Yarrowia lipolytica: one gene and its partner. The protein of the gene in region 2 interacts with the protein of the main gene of each other region in a biochemical or structural test. Links are inferred from orthologs where the notes say so. Each region holds a gene or a part of one and is shown on either strand. Other genes may lie near its edges.

What was found.
Region 1: the proteins of YALI1_C28716g (region 2) and YALI1_A05003g form a complex in vitro, tested with the Saccharomyces cerevisiae proteins (2 studies listed by BioGRID). The link is inferred for Yarrowia lipolytica from reciprocal best matches to the Saccharomyces cerevisiae genes NCR1 and NPC2.

The regions. Positions count from the first base shown.
Region 1 is NC_090770.1:495,000-503,624, reverse strand, and holds YALI1_A05003g (uncharacterized protein), read right to left. Parts: upstream 3,291-8,625; coding exon 2,667-3,290; downstream 1-2,666. Other genes in the region: YALI1_A05031g (uncharacterized protein), read left to right, coding at 432-1,652; YALI1_A04990g (uncharacterized protein), read left to right, coding at 4,399-4,478, 4,543-4,699; YALI1_A04983g (uncharacterized protein), read left to right, coding at 4,936-5,180, 5,237-5,480; YALI1_A04976g (uncharacterized protein), read left to right, coding at 6,011-7,363.
Region 2 is NC_090772.1:2,867,839-2,879,302, forward strand, and holds YALI1_C28716g (uncharacterized protein), read left to right. Parts: upstream 1-3,840; coding exon 3,841-7,560; downstream 7,561-11,464. Other genes in the region: YALI1_C28664g (uncharacterized protein), read left to right, coding at 1-132; YALI1_C28686g (uncharacterized protein), read left to right, coding at 859-1,719; YALI1_C28706g (uncharacterized protein), read right to left, coding at 2,002-2,781, 2,896-2,898; YALI1_C28767g (uncharacterized protein), read left to right, coding at 8,941-11,464. UniProt on the Saccharomyces cerevisiae protein: Involved in sphingolipid trafficking. May recycle sphingolipids between cellular membranous compartments.

The DNA of each region.
Region 1 (8,625 bases), on a different chromosome or scaffold from region 2:
CATCATGTGACGGGCACAAACTTCTCACGTGACTGTGAGGAATTTTCGCCTTTTACTTCCCGGTTTGCGACGATTCTGGGAGCTGTTGCCACCGTTTTGTTGTTTCCTCCGTTACGGTTATACGCAGAAAAATAGGCTCCGGATAATTAGGTTGTGCAGTTATCAGATGGAGCAACATCAGATAAGAGAGGCGTTTAAAGAGCTATAGGGACGGCCAAATTGAACGGGAGATGTTTTGAATCTATTTATTGTCGCGTTAGTAGTGGGATGATCTGTTTTTTGCGTTCAAATTCCGCCCCTATAACCCCCGATTGCCCCTTGATAAATGTCCACCACCACGCCGCCCAACTCTAACCCCTACGGAGCTTATTTTGAAAAGTCGCTTTTAATTACCAGACTCACTCTTTCCAGGTTGTACTCCACAACACAACATGGTCAACTACGCGGACTTTTTCGAGAATTATTTCTCGGTTCAGGTCTTCTTCATCATCTTCCGAGAGACCATTGAGACGGCGATTATCATCTCCGTGCTTCTGGCGTTCCTCAACCAGGGTCTGGGCGATAATGTGTCCCAGAAGGACTTGCAAGTGTATCGACGGCTTGTTACCCAGGTATGGCTGGGTGGAATCTTCGGTCTGCTCATCTGTCTGGCCGTGGGAGGTGCGTTCATTGCCACCTTTTACATCTACGGACACGATCTGTGGGGCATGACTGAGAACGTGTGGGAGGGCGTCTTCTCCATTGTCTCGTCCATCATTATCACCATCATGGGAGCCGCCATGCTGCGAATCAACAAGATGCGAGAAAAGTGGCGACACAAGATTGCCAAGATTCTGGTCGAGACCCACGAGGGCCACGGCGGCTGGGGCCTCAAGTACCTGTCTCGAAAGTACGCTCTGGCCATCCTACCGTTTGTGACCACCCTTCGAGAGGGAATGGAGGCCGTGGTTTTCCTCGGCGGTATCGGTGTCAACCAGCCTTTCTCTGCTTTCCCCCTTCCCGTCATCACCGCCATTGCCCTTGGTGCTTTCATTGGTTACGCCATGTACAAGTATGGCAACGCCATCTCCATCAACTACTTCCTCATTGGCTCCACGTGCTTCCTGTACCTGGTGGCCGCCGGTCTTTTCTCCCGTGGAGTGTGGTTCCTGGAGCTGCAGCAGTTCGTTAACAGAGTTGGTATGGACGTATCTGAGACCGGCTCTGGACCCGGCTCCTACGACATCACCAAGTCCGTGTGGCACGTCAACTGCTGCAACGGTCAGACCGATGGAGGATGGATGATTGCCAACGCGCTGTTTGGATGGACCAACTCGGCCACCTACGGCTCTGTCATCTCCTACAACTTTTACTGGATCTTCATCATTGTGGCCGTCTACGTGTCTTTGGTCAAGGAGAAGACTGGCTACAACCCCCTGTACCCTCGAGCGTGGCAGTCCAAGAAGTTTACTCGACTTCCTCAGAACGACGACGAGGACCGACTCTTCCAGCGAGCCTCGGCTGTTTACTCCGCTGATATGAACGTTGAGGGCCAGGGCACTAACAAGAGCTCCCAGTACGGCACCAACAGCATGCCCAACTCGGCCAACACCGCGGCCGAGAACCGAGAGTCTGTGGACTCTGACGCTCCTCTTCTTGCCAGCACTTCTTAAGTGGGATCAAGGACTCGACCATGCTGAATGCAGACATGACCAACCACTGGTACTTTTTTATATTTTGAGTACTTGTGACACAACACCGAACTCCGGTGCATGATAAATATGAACATATGATATATACACACCCCTGATGAGTACTCCTCAGTCTGTAGACAGCAACCTTACAGTTAGAATACCATCGCCGTTGCATGAGCAAATATCTAATCGACCTAAAGGTTGAGATAACGCAGACAGATAATGTAGGTATCTGAGACGGTTGAGCAATTATTGAGCAGATATGAAGAACGCAGGCACATGAGCGTAGATCGTGAGTGCTTATGGTTTCAACATGTCTGGTAGAGGTCTATTCAATGAGTGTACAGGTAGCTACGGGCAACATACCTGGCATGCGACTCGGGGCACGACCGGGGCACGACCATCAAACATGGGAAGAGCTCCATGTTGGATAAATCCGCTTGTCGAAATCCGCTTGCAGATAGTGTTTTAAATCTAGATACAGCCTTGTCGGTTGTTCTTTGGCGGGTCCGGGTTCGAGTCAGTGGGTGTACTTGTAGAAAGTGAGTAAACTGAATAGTTCTCGCGAATGGTCTGAAACTCATCGAAGTGTAGGGTAGATCTACCATCTGTGTATGCTGGCGTCTCTTCCAACTTCTAGGAAGATCGAGTTCCATGCTCAATCAAGCTGTTGTTTTTTCAGACCGAATAACTACTATGAATGTTTCGATATCAGTATTAAAACATACCCAACTATGTAGCAACCAACTACAAGTACATACGATACTTGCACCTGTAGATAACCTCAGCTAGCTGGTAAGCTTTCATGCTGCCCGTGTGAACATGTCTACAGTACCGTTTGCCATAGCACAGTTTGTCTCCAAGATTCTCAACAGCCCTGGACTCTTGGCTAGCTTCTCCCCCACTCTAAAATAGTCATCATTCATCAATTATATGCAGTTAGTTGTGCGCGGTACTGAGGGGGGACGCCATACTATGCTGTTATCATTCGACCTACAAAGAAGCAGGGAAGGTAACAGTGGTAAGAAGACAGGTGATGAGATCGTCATCAACGGTGTAGGCTCGGGCGACGGCAACGTACTTTCCGGGAGGAATCTCGTTGGGCAGCTCAATTTGCTTGTTGAGCTTGAGGTCGCCGGCCTTAATGGGGCAGGACCAGTCGACCTGTTCGGACTGCTCGCACAGGTCCAGAGTCTGGCTGATGAGCCGGATGTAGCCGTATCGCACCTCGACCTCGATGTAGGCGCCCTCCTCAACGTCCTCGTAGAGGTATCCGGACGCCTCGATGGTGAGGTTCTGGCCCTTGGCCGGGGGGTTGGGGTCGATGGACAGGTGTTTGATTTCCAGCAGCTGCTCGTATTCGGCGTCGCACAGCGAGATGGGCGAGTCTCCGGGGATGTCTTCGTCGTCCAGGGTCTTTGCAATGTCCTTGAGTCCTCCCTGGGCAACCGACATGCCGAAGTCCTTGGCCTGGTTCATGAGCTTCATGGAGTTTGCATCGGGCGCGGGCGAGGCGACCACGGCCGTGGCGAGGGCGATCAAAGGCAGAATGGACAGTTTCATGGTGTGGAGTGTGATGTGATGTGTTGTTGTGGAGGAGGAGAAAAAGAGGCTCATCAGCAATGTTAGCACGTCGAATATGCAGCGGTGGCGTTAATCTAACTTTATTAGCGGGGAGAGGTGGGGGTTCTAATGGCGGGAAAACATTTTGTATTAAATCACAAAAATTTCCCATAAATTGAGAGCGATGTTTTCGTTCATATTTTAATTTTTATATATTTTTAAAAAAGTTATAAACTCCTCCTTTTGGCCAATGAATCCCCCTCATGCAACCTCGTCCTAAAGTTCCTCCATCTGATATCAGCCGAGATAGGCTGTCTCAGACCCAGATACAGCATCGACAGGAGTATAAGAGAGGGAGAAAAAAGGACACCAGCGATTAAGAGCGGGTTTAAAGTGTTTTGCAACCGTGTTGGGGCCGATTTAAACCTCGCTAGACCTCGCTTTGGACTTCAGAAGTCGGCAAAAGCCCTTTCTGGTGGTCGCTTTGGTACAGTGTAACTACTGTAGGTCCAAATCACCTTGGGACGGCTGTGCTGAGATACATGTCAGCCTCATAAGGCGAACGGAACCCACGCAAGGGGCTGTTTTTAATGAGACTGGTGGGGCTCATGTGGTACCAAAATGATCACGTTTTCGAGGGGATTTCATCGGTTGAACAATATTGGTATGGTGTCACGGTAATATCTGCGTTTTTGACGGTATAAGCCTTTTGGAGTCTACGAAGTTGCAGATATGCAGGTCCGGAGATGAAGTTGAAATATAGGTGATTGTAAGGGAAGTGCCGTATCACGTGGGCAGTGGAGAGAGAACACAGAAGGTACAGAAGAGAAGATATATCCAGTGAATACCATCCATGGCGACCATATGTCGGACATATCGATAGAGAGCTCTCCCCAATCCCATTTCGTATCTTCTTTAATTGCGGAACTTTTGAATACTGAGTCTCTGGTCAGATTCCCTCGCCCTAGTCTACCTATTCTCAAGGAGAAGTCGCTTTCCAATGGTGTTGCGTTCCGCGGGACTTTAGTCGAGATTCTGAGTGACCCTGTTCATAATATATGTCAACTTCTGCGGTTACTCTGACATTTTGCTACTCTCACATTCTGCTACTCTGACATTCTGCTCCTCCTTCTCCACTTATCATGCAGTTTCAACGGGCTGAATGATTAAACGTCGAATGAAAGCGACCAAGGACGAGATGCTGGATTTGAATAAGCCTACTCCCACCAAGCCTAGCGGTTCGTTCAAAGAAAGCCACGAAAAACAAATGACGATCCCGTGACGCTTAACAAGTTCTCTTTTACAGCGAGCGCAGCTCAGATAACGGTTTCGACCATTTCGGCTCGGGATTCAAGAAGATGATCCGATTCGAATTGATGCTGTGGGAACCTGTTCAACTCTCGCGTTCCTATGTCGAGATCTGTGCCGAACCCGTCTCTGCAGCTTCTGGTGGAGAAGTTTGAGTCCCTGCTCACTCCCTTGCTCTGTTGGATTGATTTGATGAACATCAAGTCGCGGGCCTTGGTCAAGGCAATGGAGGACATTGAGCGATACTGTTAAAGACGTTGGGGTCGCGCAAACGACGGAAGGAGTCCATAACCGCGAAGTAGCAGAGGGAAAGAGAGGGAAAGGCAAAGGATCTAACCTGCACTGAAGATATTCAAGACGGACGTGATTCTAACGAGCATTAATACCGCTAATGCCTCCAGTGCTCCAGTGCTCCAGTGTCTTTAATGCCTCTATACAGCCCCAGTCACCTCCAAGCTACTTTCCCCATTCTACAGCAGCTTCCAGATCGCTGGCGCATCCTGTTAACCGCCAACTACAAAGTACACCCCTGATAGTCCAGTATCGTACCCGTACTCGTACTCGTACTTTACATCTTGTTCAAACATTCGACCATTTGTATCTCTTCCTCACCGTCGTAAATCTCACCCAAATGACGTCATCCTCGCGCCTAATTGGGACTAATTGAACTTTGACGGAAAGGGAATTGTTAGGGAAAAATCGAGTAAAATCGCCAACAATTTAGGAAGCATCCAAAGCGGCGGTAGATGCAAAATAGCGCCACCAAAAGGTCCCCAAAACCAGTGTTATTCATTACTTTTACCTTTCATTCGGAATTTCCCCATTTTACACCACCCATTCGCTCCAATTGCCCCCACTCCACCAACACTAAGGCGTCATATATTAGATATTAGCCCACTCAACCTCTATCTACAAGTAGCTCCACATTTTCTGTAAATCCCGTCAGCTGACGCTTATTGTCAGGTGGGGCCTTTGGCAGCAACTTTGGCAGCAACTTCCTCTTGAAGACGGGTCCTCCACGGTAGTTTAAAGACCGGTGCCTTCGTTTCCACCGCAATCTTTCCCCCATCAACTGCGGTTACCCTGCCCGATTGCTCGCCTCCCGCCAGCCATGCGCAGATCACGCTATCACACATGGTTGCTGCACACTAATGAGGTCCTGAAGCTTATGGGTGCGGTGCAGACACATCGCCAATAAATCGATGCCAAAACAAATAAGTCATTGTGGCCTTAAATTCGGACTAGTCGACTTTGTAGCTATCGAACGATCAAACTTTCATCTCAATACGACTTGTCCCCGCGATTCTCTCCGATCCCCATCTGCACAACCCTCCCAGCTTCCTCTTTCCGTCCCACCTTCTCCATCCCCATATTTTCCACCAACCCCAGAAACTGGCAGTAACCAGGGGCATACGACTCATACTTAACAGCCTGCCCACAGCCCCTTACAGCCCCACGCCTCTCCAATGCTTGCTCTGCCGCTCGAAATCATACACCAAATCGCATACTACGTGGGACTGGACAACCCCCAGGAGATTCTCAACCTGATGCGCACCAGCCGCTATCTCCACGCTGCCCTGGTTGACAGTCGCGAACACTACTCGGGGCTCTCGACACATTTGTTCCCGCTGCAAAACCCACATCTTGAGGGCCGACCAGATCATCTTTCAGCGGCCAAGCTGAGGGTTGAGACCGCAATCAGAAAATCCAGAGCCTTCAGACAGACAATGGACGTCCCCACGCCGACAAAAACACTCTCGGAACATGTGGACATTGTCCAGCATCACGACCAGTACCTGCCGTTGGACACAAACATCAAACAGCTGTTTAAAGACTCGGATGCCGCTCCTCTCAACAGATGGGCCTCTGAGGGCTTGAGACTCAGATGGTGCAAGACTGTGGGTGTTGGCGAACGACAAACACATGTCGTTTTCTCCCTTAATCTCATTACCGGAGGTGTCCATGTTGAAAACACAATCCCCGCAAACACACTGTTAAGACTTCCCCACGTGCTACAGAAGACGGAGTACTTCCACATGAACCCTGATCGGGACTTTCTGGCGTCCTCACGCCAAGCTCCCGTTCTGGTCTTTGATATTGCTGATCAGAGACTCAGTTACCAGCTCACGGGACGAGATGGAACCCCTCTAGCTCTCCGAAGAGTCGGTAGAGGTAAAATTACGGATCTCAAGCTGCCCAGATGCTTGACAGATATCGACAACTTGAGAGTGGCGCAATTGTGTGATCGGTTCTCGCTCGTGCGCGTTTGGAGATTCAAACTGGAAATGCTTCTGCTGTGTGACTACGAACAAATGACATGCAGAATCATCAAGGGAGGACCCACGGGCCATGTGACCTGTGTGGCTGTCGTCAAGGGACTGTTGTGGCTCACTGTGACGGAGGAAGACGACATGAGCGAAAACACAAGCATCCAAGAGTGGTATCTCGACACAAAAAATGCCTCGGCCATGTACATTCGAAACGTGTGTGGGGACGGCCCTCAAAAGGATCTCTTTTCGCATGCCACGAGCGACATTATGACTGGAAGATATATCAAGACCCGCAACCGGTTCCTGGACACAGAAACGCTATCTGTTATGTCTGTTAAGCCCATCTCTGTGTTTGGAGTCATTGCTGGCCAAGTTCACTGTTGGTCCTTCTCCAAGGCTTGGTTGGACCATCAGGAGATGAGAATTGACAACATGATCAACAGTGGATGGTCTGCCATGACTGATACTGGTCTAGGGGCCATTGGGGCGACAGATATGAGCGTCATTATGGGTCCTCCACGCCCGCGAGAAGAAATCGCTGCCTCCTGACAATCCGAGTATCTGGTGGTGAACCTGGAGGTTTGCGTCATGACCCTAGTCAAGGTCCTGGAGGGTGTCAAGGAAGATGAACCTGACGATGACGACTTTTAGTTTGGTTACGAGGACGTTTTGATTAATTTATAGTATTGTAGTAATATCCATGCATTGATAATGACGTTATATGGGCCAGAGTGGCTCAGGAAGGTGTACTATACCTATCGCATGCCAGAGTCAAGTCTAGGCACAACTCTTGATCTGGGTCAGGAAGTAAACTGCTGGATTTTGGAATAGTGAACAGGGTTTTATTATTTCGTTTCGTATATACCTGAAATTAAACAAAAAATTGCTTTTCTTCAATGCTAATGAGTCATTTTTATTCGGGATGATTCAGCGCTGACTAATCGAATAACCTCAATATATATAAAATTCGAATTTTTAACATTAAGTTCAGACTTCGTGGCCAAGTTGGTTAAGGCGTACGACTGTTAGTCACCTAAATGGCCGCCATCGTAAGATCGAGAGTTCGACCCTCTCCGAGGTCGTCTGAATTTTTTTCATCTGTTTTTTTCCTTTTTTTGTATTTTCCATGCGTCAATAAATCTATACCTCTATCAATCAATAATCCTTGAGAATTTGTCGCTGAAACTCATGGCAGTAGGGAATGTGCTTGTCAAAGATGTGAGGAGGAAAAGAGCCCAAGCAGACTTGGCATCTCAGTAGCGGCGGGATACTGACGGCAGAAGAGTAGGTTCCAGGAGTGCGTGGAACGGCCATTTTTTGTGTGAATAATTGTTGTGTCGAAGTAAGAGGAAAGTTGCGGATCTGCTCCTCCTTATATTCACGATATTTGGCATTAAACGCCAGTCGACGTGTCATGTCTCTGTCTCTGTATCATTTGTTTGGCCTCATGTTGCTGAAGTTTTTGGGGCGATTTTGTGAGGCGGGTTTTCTACGGTAGGTGAGTCGAGTGTTGCTACAGAAAGTGATGATATCGCCAAATCTTGGTATCGTAACTCGTACTTGTACCAAGGTAAACGGCTCGCCAGATAATTGCAGATTTTGTCGAATAAATGTATTCATGGCCGTTTTCTGTCATTATTTGTACCTGTGTCAAGATCAATCCAAATAAAATCGAATGATATACCTAACGTATTAAATTTGATAAATAATAATGTATTTATTATTTAATTTGATAAATAATAAATTAATATTCCATTTTATCTAAAAAGTAATCATATTTTAATTCATCTTTTATCAACCTTTGTTGATGT
Region 2 (11,464 bases):
CCCGGCCAGATCCAGAGCCCCATGCAGGACACCCCCAATGGCCTCGCCTATAATGAGGCTCTGGGCCAGGCTCCTCCTCCTACCACCACCGACCTTGGCCCCAAAATCCCCACCGGCCAGCCTCTTAATTAGAGAGACAGAAAACGAGAGCGAGAGCTAAGAATGCACCACTGAAAAGCCCCCAAATGGCATTATACGCTCCCGCGACGAGCCGCACAGTTTCAAATCTGTCCAAATACGTCCCATGCTGGCCTTCGTCTTTTCCCAACTGCACAGTTGTCCATTCTGCCCACTGTCTCTGCCAAATCCCTTCTTGATTCCCTCCATTATTTAATTCATTCGCCTCAATTGTATTTGCAATCGAACCTGCAACAGTAGCCGCCGTTTCCTGCAAATAAAATCAGCTATCGTACTCGTAGCTGCTGTATCGTAATGTGCCCCATTTTTCGCAGTGTGTGTGATATTTCGCTGCTGCTCATTTACCCACACATGATCAAAAGCCAAATTGGACCCCGTACATAATACGAGCCAATACGAGTGGGTAAAGAGGCGTCATTGATAGCCTTTTGGAGGTGGAAAAACGGTCCCTCCGATGCACGTGATTGACCAGGTCAACCCATATACAACCCGTGGGCCTTTCCTGTCTCAATTGCCCCACGGGAAGCCCTAGTTTTCTTGTCCACACCCCATGAGGTTCATGCATGATTCTGCACCAGGCAACAAGGAAACCTGACACTCTGCCACAAGAGGAGACGTTGAACAAAAATACGTATATATAAGATCGGAGAAGCTGGCCATGGGGCTCTGGAACACCAGCTTGATGCCCCCCTTCCAAACAACCGACTTTGAGGCACTTCAATGTCGCACCATCACCACCACCCCCACCTTCATCAGTTCTCGCTCCACTCCACCCAACCCCGTTTCTCGCCCTCCGACTGCTTTCGGGAGCCTATTGCCTTGGTCGGTGTGCCTGATAACAGCTGGTTACCTTTGGCTCCTAGAACCACCCGTCTGCCGAGTTTTTCCGAACTATTGTGGTCACTGGAAGAAACAGCAAGACCCATGTCTCCAGTATCCTCCGAGCAATCAGGGGACTCTTGCACCACCCTCTGGTCGCTCAACTCCAACCCGGGCTCCTCGCCTGAAGCCCCAAGTGCGCCCAACCCCAACCTTAACTATACTTACGAAAAATACCCATCTACAGTTGAGCCGATTAAACGGAAGTACGAGAACTCGGAGCAGGCTGTGATTGACAAGACTGCCCGGAAAAAGACACGGAAAACACCAGCAGCGTCAACCGTCAAAGCCATTAAGCCAAAAACGACCAAACCACGTGCAAAGAAGACCAAAGGCACAACATCTCCAGCCGACGCTTCCGAATCAGCGGCAGCCAGACCAGCCAGACCCCCTCCAGTCAAACCCCCTCCGCCTACTCCTGAACCAACCCTGGTAGAACAGCTCCTGGAACATGGGCTGTATGAAGGTGCTCAGCAAGACGCGTGCGAACGTCTGTACTGCTCCAAATGCCGCTCGTACGCCAAAAAGACTCGATTCGCAAACGTGGTTCGCCTGGCCACCCATCTTGACGTTAAACATCGGACTTTCCGACTCAAGATCTTCTGCGATCACAAACAGTGTCCTCGCTCCATTGTCGGTTTCGCCAGCAACAAGGAGAAACATGAACATCTCAAGCACATCCACGGACAAGTGCAAGAATAGAGTGAGATAAAGTATAGACGAGAATAGTTATTTATTGAGAGTAGCCAGTGTGTATGGAACAATATGTAGTGACTGAAGAGAAGACAGACGTGAGTATAACACGATAAAATCGGATGCACCCAACTACTTCCCTGCTATGATACCGGTATCACTCTTACAGATGGTGCCTGTTACTGCGAAGACTCATGCCGGACGGTAGCAACCCAGCTGTACTTGTCACGACTACACATACACGCCAATTAGTCATTTCATCCATTATATATCCATACCATCATTGCTGCATTACTGCAGACCCTTGATGACCTCCTCCTGTCGTTGCTTCTGCTTGGCGTCCTCAACGCCGCCCAGAGATCGCACCTGGCCCACAATGTCCCGGGCCTTGCCGAAATACACCTCCTGCAGCTGGTTTCGCAGCTTGGACTCCACGTCCTCAACAATGCTTCCGAGGTTTGCGATATGCTGAGAGGGTTCATCGACAGCCATCTCTCGCTCGGTCTGTCGAGTCAGGTTACCGGAAAGGCCGAGCTTGGGGGACTTGGAGCCCAGATCGAGAATCACGGTGGATGTGACCCGGTAGATCCCCTCTCCACGGCTGGTCTCAACCTCAAAGACGTGGATGGAGTCCCAGGACGACGAGGGCGAGGTCTTCTTGAGCAGCACAACGCCGGCAAAGCTGTTAGTATTGTCTCCTTCGCCCTGGTCCCACAGGTAGACCGAAGAGACTCCTCCCTCGTAGTACAGGTCTCTGTAGATGTCAAAGGAGTCGTTGGCGAGAACCTCGAGTTTGCGCAGAGCCGCCGAGGGCGTGGGGCCGTCTGTTGCGGGCTCGTAGTCGCCGGACCATGGGGATCGGAACGAGTCGCCGTCTCGGTTGTAGTCGCAAGTCAGGTACTCCTTTTTGGTGGATTTGCAGGTCTTGACACCGAGAGGCTGGTCGACGGAAGACAGCAGGTCCTCCGCAAGTTCCGGAGCAATCTTGCACAGGGAATTGAGGTTGACGCTGACGTTTTTGGGATCCAATCGTCGCAGAAGAGACAGAGCAGCGTCGTATTGTTCGTCAGACTGGGTTAGCGATTGCGCGACGGCCGGGGGGAGGAAGATCACGTGGAATCTATGGGGCGCAATGCCACGTGACTGCCATGTTTACTGTCAGTCCGAATTGTGTCTGTTACTCACCATGGTGGACGGTTGGGTATGTACTGTACTGTACTGTTGTGATGATGATGTTCAGATATCCACTGCTGTTAACACCGCATGCATTAGTCGTGCGTTACTACAAGTAGTGGGATTGGGGAAAGTTTATTTTGGGAAAAACGTAGGAACATAAGAAGCAGAAGTAGGGAGCTGGAGGAGGGTGTTGTAGAGTGAGTGTCGCGGGTGTGGGGGTGTCGAGGTTGTTGGAGGAAATGGTGGCATTAATTACCCTTTAAATAGGGCTATAAGTGTTCTAATTGCTATCTGTGGCATTATTTTGTCATGGGTGAAACTAATTTAATTTACCTCAGTTAAGTTTCAAGTAACTCCCGTCTAAAATTTCAAAAGAGAAATTAAAATTTATAGCGAAAATTCAGTTTCTGAATATAACCCAATAAGTAGTTGAAGTGTAAGCTGGGACACGTTTTGACTGGTGGTTGTACTTAAAAAGACCGAATGACACATTGAAGACGGCTGAATGACACACTGATACCGAGCCTCGGGAAACACTTACCAGCATACGACGAAATCCTGACAAATACGGCCTTTCCTTATCTCGAAACACGACCCAAGCACCAAACGCCAATTTGTATTGTCTATACTCCGGAGTTAAATAATTACACCTTCCATCGCGACTTGTAGTTACATTATCAGATTATGTAATACAGAGGTATATTTTATGTATATTTTATGTATATTTTATGTATATTTTATGGACAAGATCTCGACTGATAATGTATACCATCCTACCAACGGAACCGAGCGTCTCAGCATTGTCTACTATATCACCACCCATTCATCTTTCCATCTTCCACCTTGTCTCGCCCTGTTTCACCATCGCCGTGTTCCCTAACCCTATGCATTATCGTGCATGTTCCAACCTACTTGGTGGAGCAACTAACCGTCTTCACGAAACGCACTAGAACGATGAAGAGACTCATTCCGACGGTAATATCGGTATTGCTGGTGTTTCTTACACTCACAAGCCCTGTTCAGTCGGCAGGATGCAGCATATACGGCAACTGTGGAAAGAAATCACTATTCGGCAGCGAACTACCCTGTCCGACACCACAAGACAAGGCTGGTCCGTTTGAGCCTTCCAAGGGGGATCTGGATCTGCTAGGAGAGATCTGCGGCGAGGTTTGGACACACGAGAAACTTTTATGTTGTGATACGGCGCAGATCAAGGATCTGAAGAACTCGCTGAAGAAGGCCGATGGTCTGATTTCATCGTGTCCGGCTTGCAAGTCCAATTTTTACGAATTCTTCTGCAAGTTCACATGTGCCCCTGACCAGCGCGACTACGTTAATGTGACACAACTGGGCAAATCGACAGACGGACGAGATATCGTGACAGAGTTGAGTTACTATGTGAAACCAGAGTGGGCTCAGGGGTTCTACGACTCGTGTAAAGACATCAAGTTCTCGGCGACCAACGGCTACGCCATGGACCTGTTAGGAGGCGGTAGACACGGATACAAGAACTTTCTCAAGTTTCTGGGGGACGAAAAACCCATGCTCGGAGGTTCCCCCTTTCAAATCAACTTCCCCTGGCCCGAAGATGAGAAGGACAAAAACTACCCTCCCAAGGGAATTAAGCCCGTGGAGCCTGTTCTTCGAGACTGTGCAACAGGTGCTTACAAATGTGCATGCAGTGATTGTGAGGGTGCTTGTCCTGAGTTGCCTAACATCAAGAAACATGGAGCTTGCAAGGTTGGACATCTTCCTTGTCTGAGCTTCGCGGTGATCATCATCTACTCAGTGGTTCTTCTCGGCGCAATTGCAGGTTCCTGGTTTGTTCACAGTCATACGCTCTTCTCTGGAGCCACTCTAGAGGACCAGTACATGACTTCCAGATGGTACCAGAACCCCCATGCGTCAGAGAAGTACACCACTTATCCTATCAACCGATTCTTGCAATACTGGGTGTCTCGAATTGCGCTTTTCTGCGCTTCATACCCTGCAGTGACCATTGGTTTTACGGTCACCCTGTCTATTCTCATGTCAGTTGGCTTGACCAGGTTTCAGGTTGAAGAGAACCCAGTAAGATTGTGGGTATCCGAGGATTCTACTCCTTACCTCCAGAAAGAGAACTTTGACAACAATTTCGGCCCCTTCTACCGTACCGCTCAGGTTTACCTTGTCAACACAACAGGAAGCGTGGTCAACCAAGAGAATCTGGTATGGTGGCAGGGAGTCGAACAGCAGATTATCAGCCTACAGGTGGAAGGCACCTCTTTCAATGACTTCTGTCTAAAGCCCACAAACGATGCCTGTGTCATTCAGAGTTACACTCAATATGGAATTAATCTAAACTCTCCAGACTGGGCCACTCAGTTGCAAACTTGCACTTCTTCCGCAGTGCAGTGTCTGCCACCTTTTGGACAGCCTCTCAACATGAATCTGCTATTTGGAGGCTACAATGAGACCTCTCGTGATCCTCTCTCTGCCCAGGCTCTCGTCATTACCCTTGTTGGAGAAGGTTACCTAGAAGATGATCCTCAAGAAGCACGAGCTCAAAAGTGGGAAAAGGGTCTGATTGATGTGCTCCTGGATGTTCAACACGAGGCATGGAGACGAGGTCTACAGCTCTCCTTCTCTACTGAGGCTTCTCTTACTGAAGAGCTGAACAAGAGCACCAACACAGATGTGAAGATTGTTGTCATCTCGTACCTCGTCATGTTCCTCTACGCCTCCATGGCTCTCGGAGGAGGCTCTGGTAAGGCCAAGTTCGGCCTCGGACTCTGTGGTATCATCATTGTGCTTCTGTCTGTAGCAGCTTCTGCTGGCATCTGTGCTGCAATTGGTATCAAGGCCACTCTCATTATTGCGGAGGTTATCCCTTTCCTGGTTCTTGCTGTCGGCGTGGACAACATTTTCCTGCTTTGCCATGAGATGGACGCTGCCAATATCGCCTACCCTAATGACAGTGTTGACACACGAGTCTCCAAGGCTGTAGGCAGAATTGGACCCAGTATTGTCATTTCTGCAATCACTGAGACATTGGCTTTTGGATTGGCTGCGACGGTGAAGATGCCTGCTGTTCGAAACTTTGCCATATACGCTGCTGGTGCGGTGTTTATTAATGCCATTCTGCAGCTGACTATTTTTGTGTCTGTCATGGCACTCGATCAGCGACGACAGTCAGCCCCCATTCAGCTCGCTGACTCCTATGACCTAGACTTTAACATTCTTGAGCATCGAGAGAACCTATTCTCTAGACTTATCCGACGATACTACGCTCCCTTCTTACTCAAGAAGAAGACCAAGAAGATTGTGCTTGCTGTGTTTGGAACTTGGGCTGCTGTCTCTCTGATTCTCTGGCCCATGCTGCAACTTGGGCTTGATCAACGTCTTGCTGTTCCTTCGGATTCTTATCTTGTTCAGTACTTTGATGACATCTATGACTACCTCAATGTAGGCCCTCCTGTCTACTTCGTTGTGTCTGGCCTGAATGCCACTAGCAGAAACGGACAGCAGTCGTTGTGTGGAACATTCACGACTTGTGAGGATTACTCTTTGGTGAACATTGTCGAGCAGGAGAGAAAGCGACCCGAGCTGTCTTACATTAGCGAGCCCGCCTCTTCTTGGATCGACGACTATCTCAAGTGGCTGAATCCAGATCTTGATGAGTGCTGTCGAGTCAAGAAGACCGACAAAGACGTTGCCTGTCCTCCTCGAGCCTCCCCGCGAGCTTGCAACGTTTGTTTCAAGGACAGGGATCCTGCTTGGAATATCACAATGTCTGGTCTGCCCCAGGGACCTGAGTTCATGCATTACTTTGACTTCTGGATCGATGCTCCTTCTGACCCTTGTCCTCTTGGAGGTAAGGCTCCCTACAGTGACGCCGTTGTCTATGACAGTGATGATGTCCTCACGTCCCATTTTAGATCGTTCCACACACCTCTCAGGTCACAAAAGGATTTCATCAATGCGTTAGCAAGTGCCAAGCGTATCTCCAAGGATATTGAGAAGACTCTAGGAGGTACTGAGGGGTCTGTTTATGCTTACTCGCCCTTTTACATTTTCTTCGATCAGTACTCGTACATCATCAAGCAGGCATTTGCCCTGATTGGAGGAGTACTGGCAGCTGTTCTGGTTTTGCTGGCTATCATTATGGGGTCTGTCAAGACATCTTTCACTGTTGTTCTGACAGTGTCACTAATGTTGATAAACATTGTTGGTTTCATGGCCATTTGGAATGTCAATCTGAACGCCATCTCGCTAGTGAACCTTGTTATTTGTGTTGGTCTAGGAGTGGAGTTCTGTGTGCACTTGGCGCGTGCATTTACGACTGTTTCGGCCAATTCTTCGCATATCCGAATGTCTCCCACCAAGAACACCCGTACTTTCGAGGCTCTTGTGGGTGTAGGAGGCTCTGTCTTTGGTGGCATTGCCATGACCAAGTTCCTGGGAGTATTTGTGCTAGCATTCACGCGATCTAAGATCTTCGAAGTTTACTATTTCCGAGTGTGGTTAGCACTGGTCATTGTGGCTACCACCCATAGTCTGATTCTACTGCCGGTGTTGCTCACTTACATTGGAGGCAAGGGATATGTTTATGATGATGGAGAGCAGGATTTGGAGGGAGAGTTGGCTAGTCGGTTCTTGTCTTCCTACGATAATGACACTGAAGAGGAGGACTAACTTATAGATGATATGATTGATAAACGAATTTTTCCCGGCTGTTAGCCGCTAGCTAGTGTATTTTAGTCGCTTAGGATAGTCGGCGTGCGTAGAACAATGGCGTAAAATTGTTTCTAGAGTGATATACGAACAATCTAGTTCGGTATGAACCCCAACCCAGTATGCACTAGTAGGGAGAGTTGCCAGTTCCGTAAAAAGTAAACGACTCGGTTGTTCAATAGGACCCTGTTCTGTCAAAACAGGGGCTGGAGGGTACGTTCTAAGCGAGTATTGTATTTTAAGAAGTCCGAACAATAGGGATGCGCATTACAAGGGACTAACGACACGCTAATGCAATGCACAGTACAGTACAGTACACTACAGTAGTGTAATTGGTTGACACAGCTTCCACTGACAACACCAATGCACGCCTAGATCCATTCTACACACAAGATGTTCATTATTGGATTTTTCACAGTCCGACTACTATGCTGAAATCGAAAGATGCAGCATTGACGACTGCGAATAGAAGCTGTGACATTATGGTGGTGCGGCAAAATGTACAGTACACTTGCGGTATTGCCGATTGCACTGTTCATACAGTACTACTGTACACAAGCTGTACCCGATGGTGTGTGTCCACAAAGGTCATCAACGGAGGATTGGTGAATCGACTATTTCAAAGTAGTGTCTTCATATTTGAACCCATTGTAAAACGCCGCTCAACGCTTTTCATGCAGTAAAATTAATTTATCGGTCGTAAGCGGTATACTAATGTACTCTCATAGAGTCTGGACGGCACTGGAACATCGAGCCGGGTGAGATCGTACGATTTTTTTTATGCATGGGGTTAACATTTATTTAGGTTGCATAATACATGCAAGTTAGCGAGTCCACCTAAACCCACAACACAACGAGGAGAGCGACAGATATGTCATTACGCTGACACACACAACCGTCCTGATACCACAATTTCTGACTAAGCTCCTTTTGTCAAATTTCCCCCAATTGATTCGATAATCGCTTTGACAACGCTTGTTTCTGCAGCCTATCGACTGATACCAATGCATACGTAGCGATCCAACGCTTGCGACACATGCTCCGTAGAACTCCACTTGCACGCAGTTTAAGGGTAGACTCGAATTGGCATAAGTGGGCTTACAAGCGATAATTACGCTCTCTATCATACCCTCCACAGTAGACTACTGCACCATTACTGTACATCGGCGGGACTAGTTGCGCCCGAGAGAACAGTAGCGAACGAAAAGCAGATCACACTACTGCAGGTAAGGAGGCAAAACTCCGACACATACGCTGCATCCAAGGGTGAGTATGGGCCATGGCAGCTCGACTTATATATATTTGAAGGGAGCGGCCAAGCTAGCCTAACCTCACACACAAATGCTTACTCACTACTTCATTGCGGCCCTTTTTCTGGCCACGTTCGTTTGGGCGGGAAGCGCCTTGAACAACCCTATCACCGGAATCAAGGCACAGCTCTCAAATAATCGGACTGGCCCTGGCTATTACTGGGACACCTGGGAAGTTGTGGTCGACTTCGCTTTCAACAAGTACTCCCTCGAAGACATCAGAGGTGGTGATTTCTTCGGCTTCACTCTTGCGGGAAAACAGCTCAATCCCCGTGGTCCCAAGGACAAGGTTCCAGTCGATTATGACTTCTACATTGTCAACTATGACGGGCGGAGACTTTTCCATGTCACTACAACAAGCGATTCTTACAACTTCCGAGCTACCGCGACCAGCGTATTCGACAACCCCTCAATGGAGGTTCTTGAGCTCTCTGGACAGCTCACTGTCGAGTTTCTGGTCAAGCCCAACTCACCTGTTGGACTGTCAGATGTTTCTATTGGCCCTTGGTCCAGCAGCATCAATCTTGAGGATCCAGACATGGCTGACGCTGATGCAGGAGCTTGCTGGTGGAATATTGACAGCTACCAACCGGCAAACAATGGAAACTCTCAAAAAATCTGTGCTCAACAAGGCCTTCCATATCCCCCCAGTGGTTATGGAAGGGCATATCTGAAGACTATCATACATCCTATGTACACCAAGGTTGTCACTGGACTCACTGCCGGCTCGGAGACTCTTGTGGACGACAGAAATATTCCATATGAGCGGGTTACTACCACTCCTGCAAGCACAATTACAGTCGCTGGCTATGAAACTGGCTTGGAGTTCTTCGAGTCCGTTGGCAGCATCTTCGAGCGAACTACTGAAACTCCTGCATACACCACTACAGTGGAAGGTCTCAAGGCTGGTTCCGAATTTCTGACAAATTCTGAGCACGTCCTGTACGAGCAGGTAACGGCAATTCCGGCCTTCACTTCTACAATTGCTGGATATGAGGCAGGCTCTCAGCTCCTCGTTGATCCTCTCAATGGTGTTGTCTTCAAGCAGATCACTATCACTCCTGTTTCTACTTCCACTGTGGTAGGACATGTGGTGGGTACCGAGTTGCTCAATGACTCCGAGGGCATTCTCTATGAGCAGATTACTGTTACGCCCGCATTCACCACCACCATCCCTGGACATCAGGCTGGATCCCAGTTCTTGTCCAATCCGGTTGATGGTGTGATTTTTGAACAGGTTACTGAGACACCAGCTTTCACTACCACAGTTCCTGGTCATAGAGCGGGGTCCCAGTTCACCGTTGATTCAAATGGTACCATTTTCGAACAAGTTACTGTCACTCCTGTGAGCACTTCTACTGTTCCTGGACACAAGATGGGCTCTGAGTTCGTGTGGGATGTTATGGATGGTGTTTTTGCTGAGCGGGTCACTGTAACTCCTGCTTTCACCTCTACGATTGCAGGCCATGAGGCCGGTTCTGAGTTTGTGACTAACGGTACCCATGTTTTGTATGAGCGGGTCACGGCTACTCCTGTCTTCACGTCCACTGTTTCAGGCCACAGAGCTGGCTCTGAGTTCACTGCGGATGCCCTTGGAAACATCTATGAGCGAGTTACCATTGCGCCTGCCTACACTTCTGTCGTTCCTGGACATGAACCAGGTTCCGAGTTCCTGGATGGCTCAGATGGCAACTTCTACGAGCGAGTTACTACGACTCCTGCGAGAACAGTGACTGTTCCTGGGCATGAGGAAGGTTTCCAGTTCTTGTCAGACTTCAATGATGGCGAATTTATAGAGCAATTGACCATCACTCCGGCTTTCACCGTCACTGTCACGGCACACAAAGCAGGTGCTGAGTTTGTAACTAATGCTGATAATGTTCTTTATGAGCAAGTTACTGTCTCGCCAGCTTCAACCACTACAGTAGTAGGTCACGAGGCCGGCTCAGAGTATTTGCAGGACCCTGAAGGAGTCATTTTTGTGCAGGTTACTGTGACCCCCGCATTCACTTCCACCGTGACTGGACACACAGCAGGCTCCGAGTTCCGTACGAGAGGAGACGGTGTTTTTTATGAGCTGTTCACCGCCACCCCTGTCCATGTCACCACAGTAACTGGCCACATGGGCGGTTCTGAGTTTTTGGAGAACTTGCAAGGTGATATTTTCGAACAGGTTACGGTTACCCCAGTCTTCACGGCGACCGTGATAGGACACAAGAATGGATCTGAGTTTCTGAAGGACTCTAATGGCACCATCTTCGAGCGGGTTACTGTGACTCCAGCTTTCACGTCTACAGTCACTGATCGTGAAGGGGGCTCTGAGTTCTCAACTAGAGCAGACGGTGTCCTCTACGAGGTTACCACTGCAACCCCTGTCTACGCAGCTACTGTCACTGGTCTCGCAGGTGGCTCCGAGTTCTTGGAGGATTCCCAAGGTGTCATTTTCGAGCAGATCACCGTTACCATTGAACGAGGGACGGTGGCTCCAGCTTACACCACCACTATTTCAGGACACGATGCTGACTCACAGTTCTTCACGAACGATAGTAACGTTG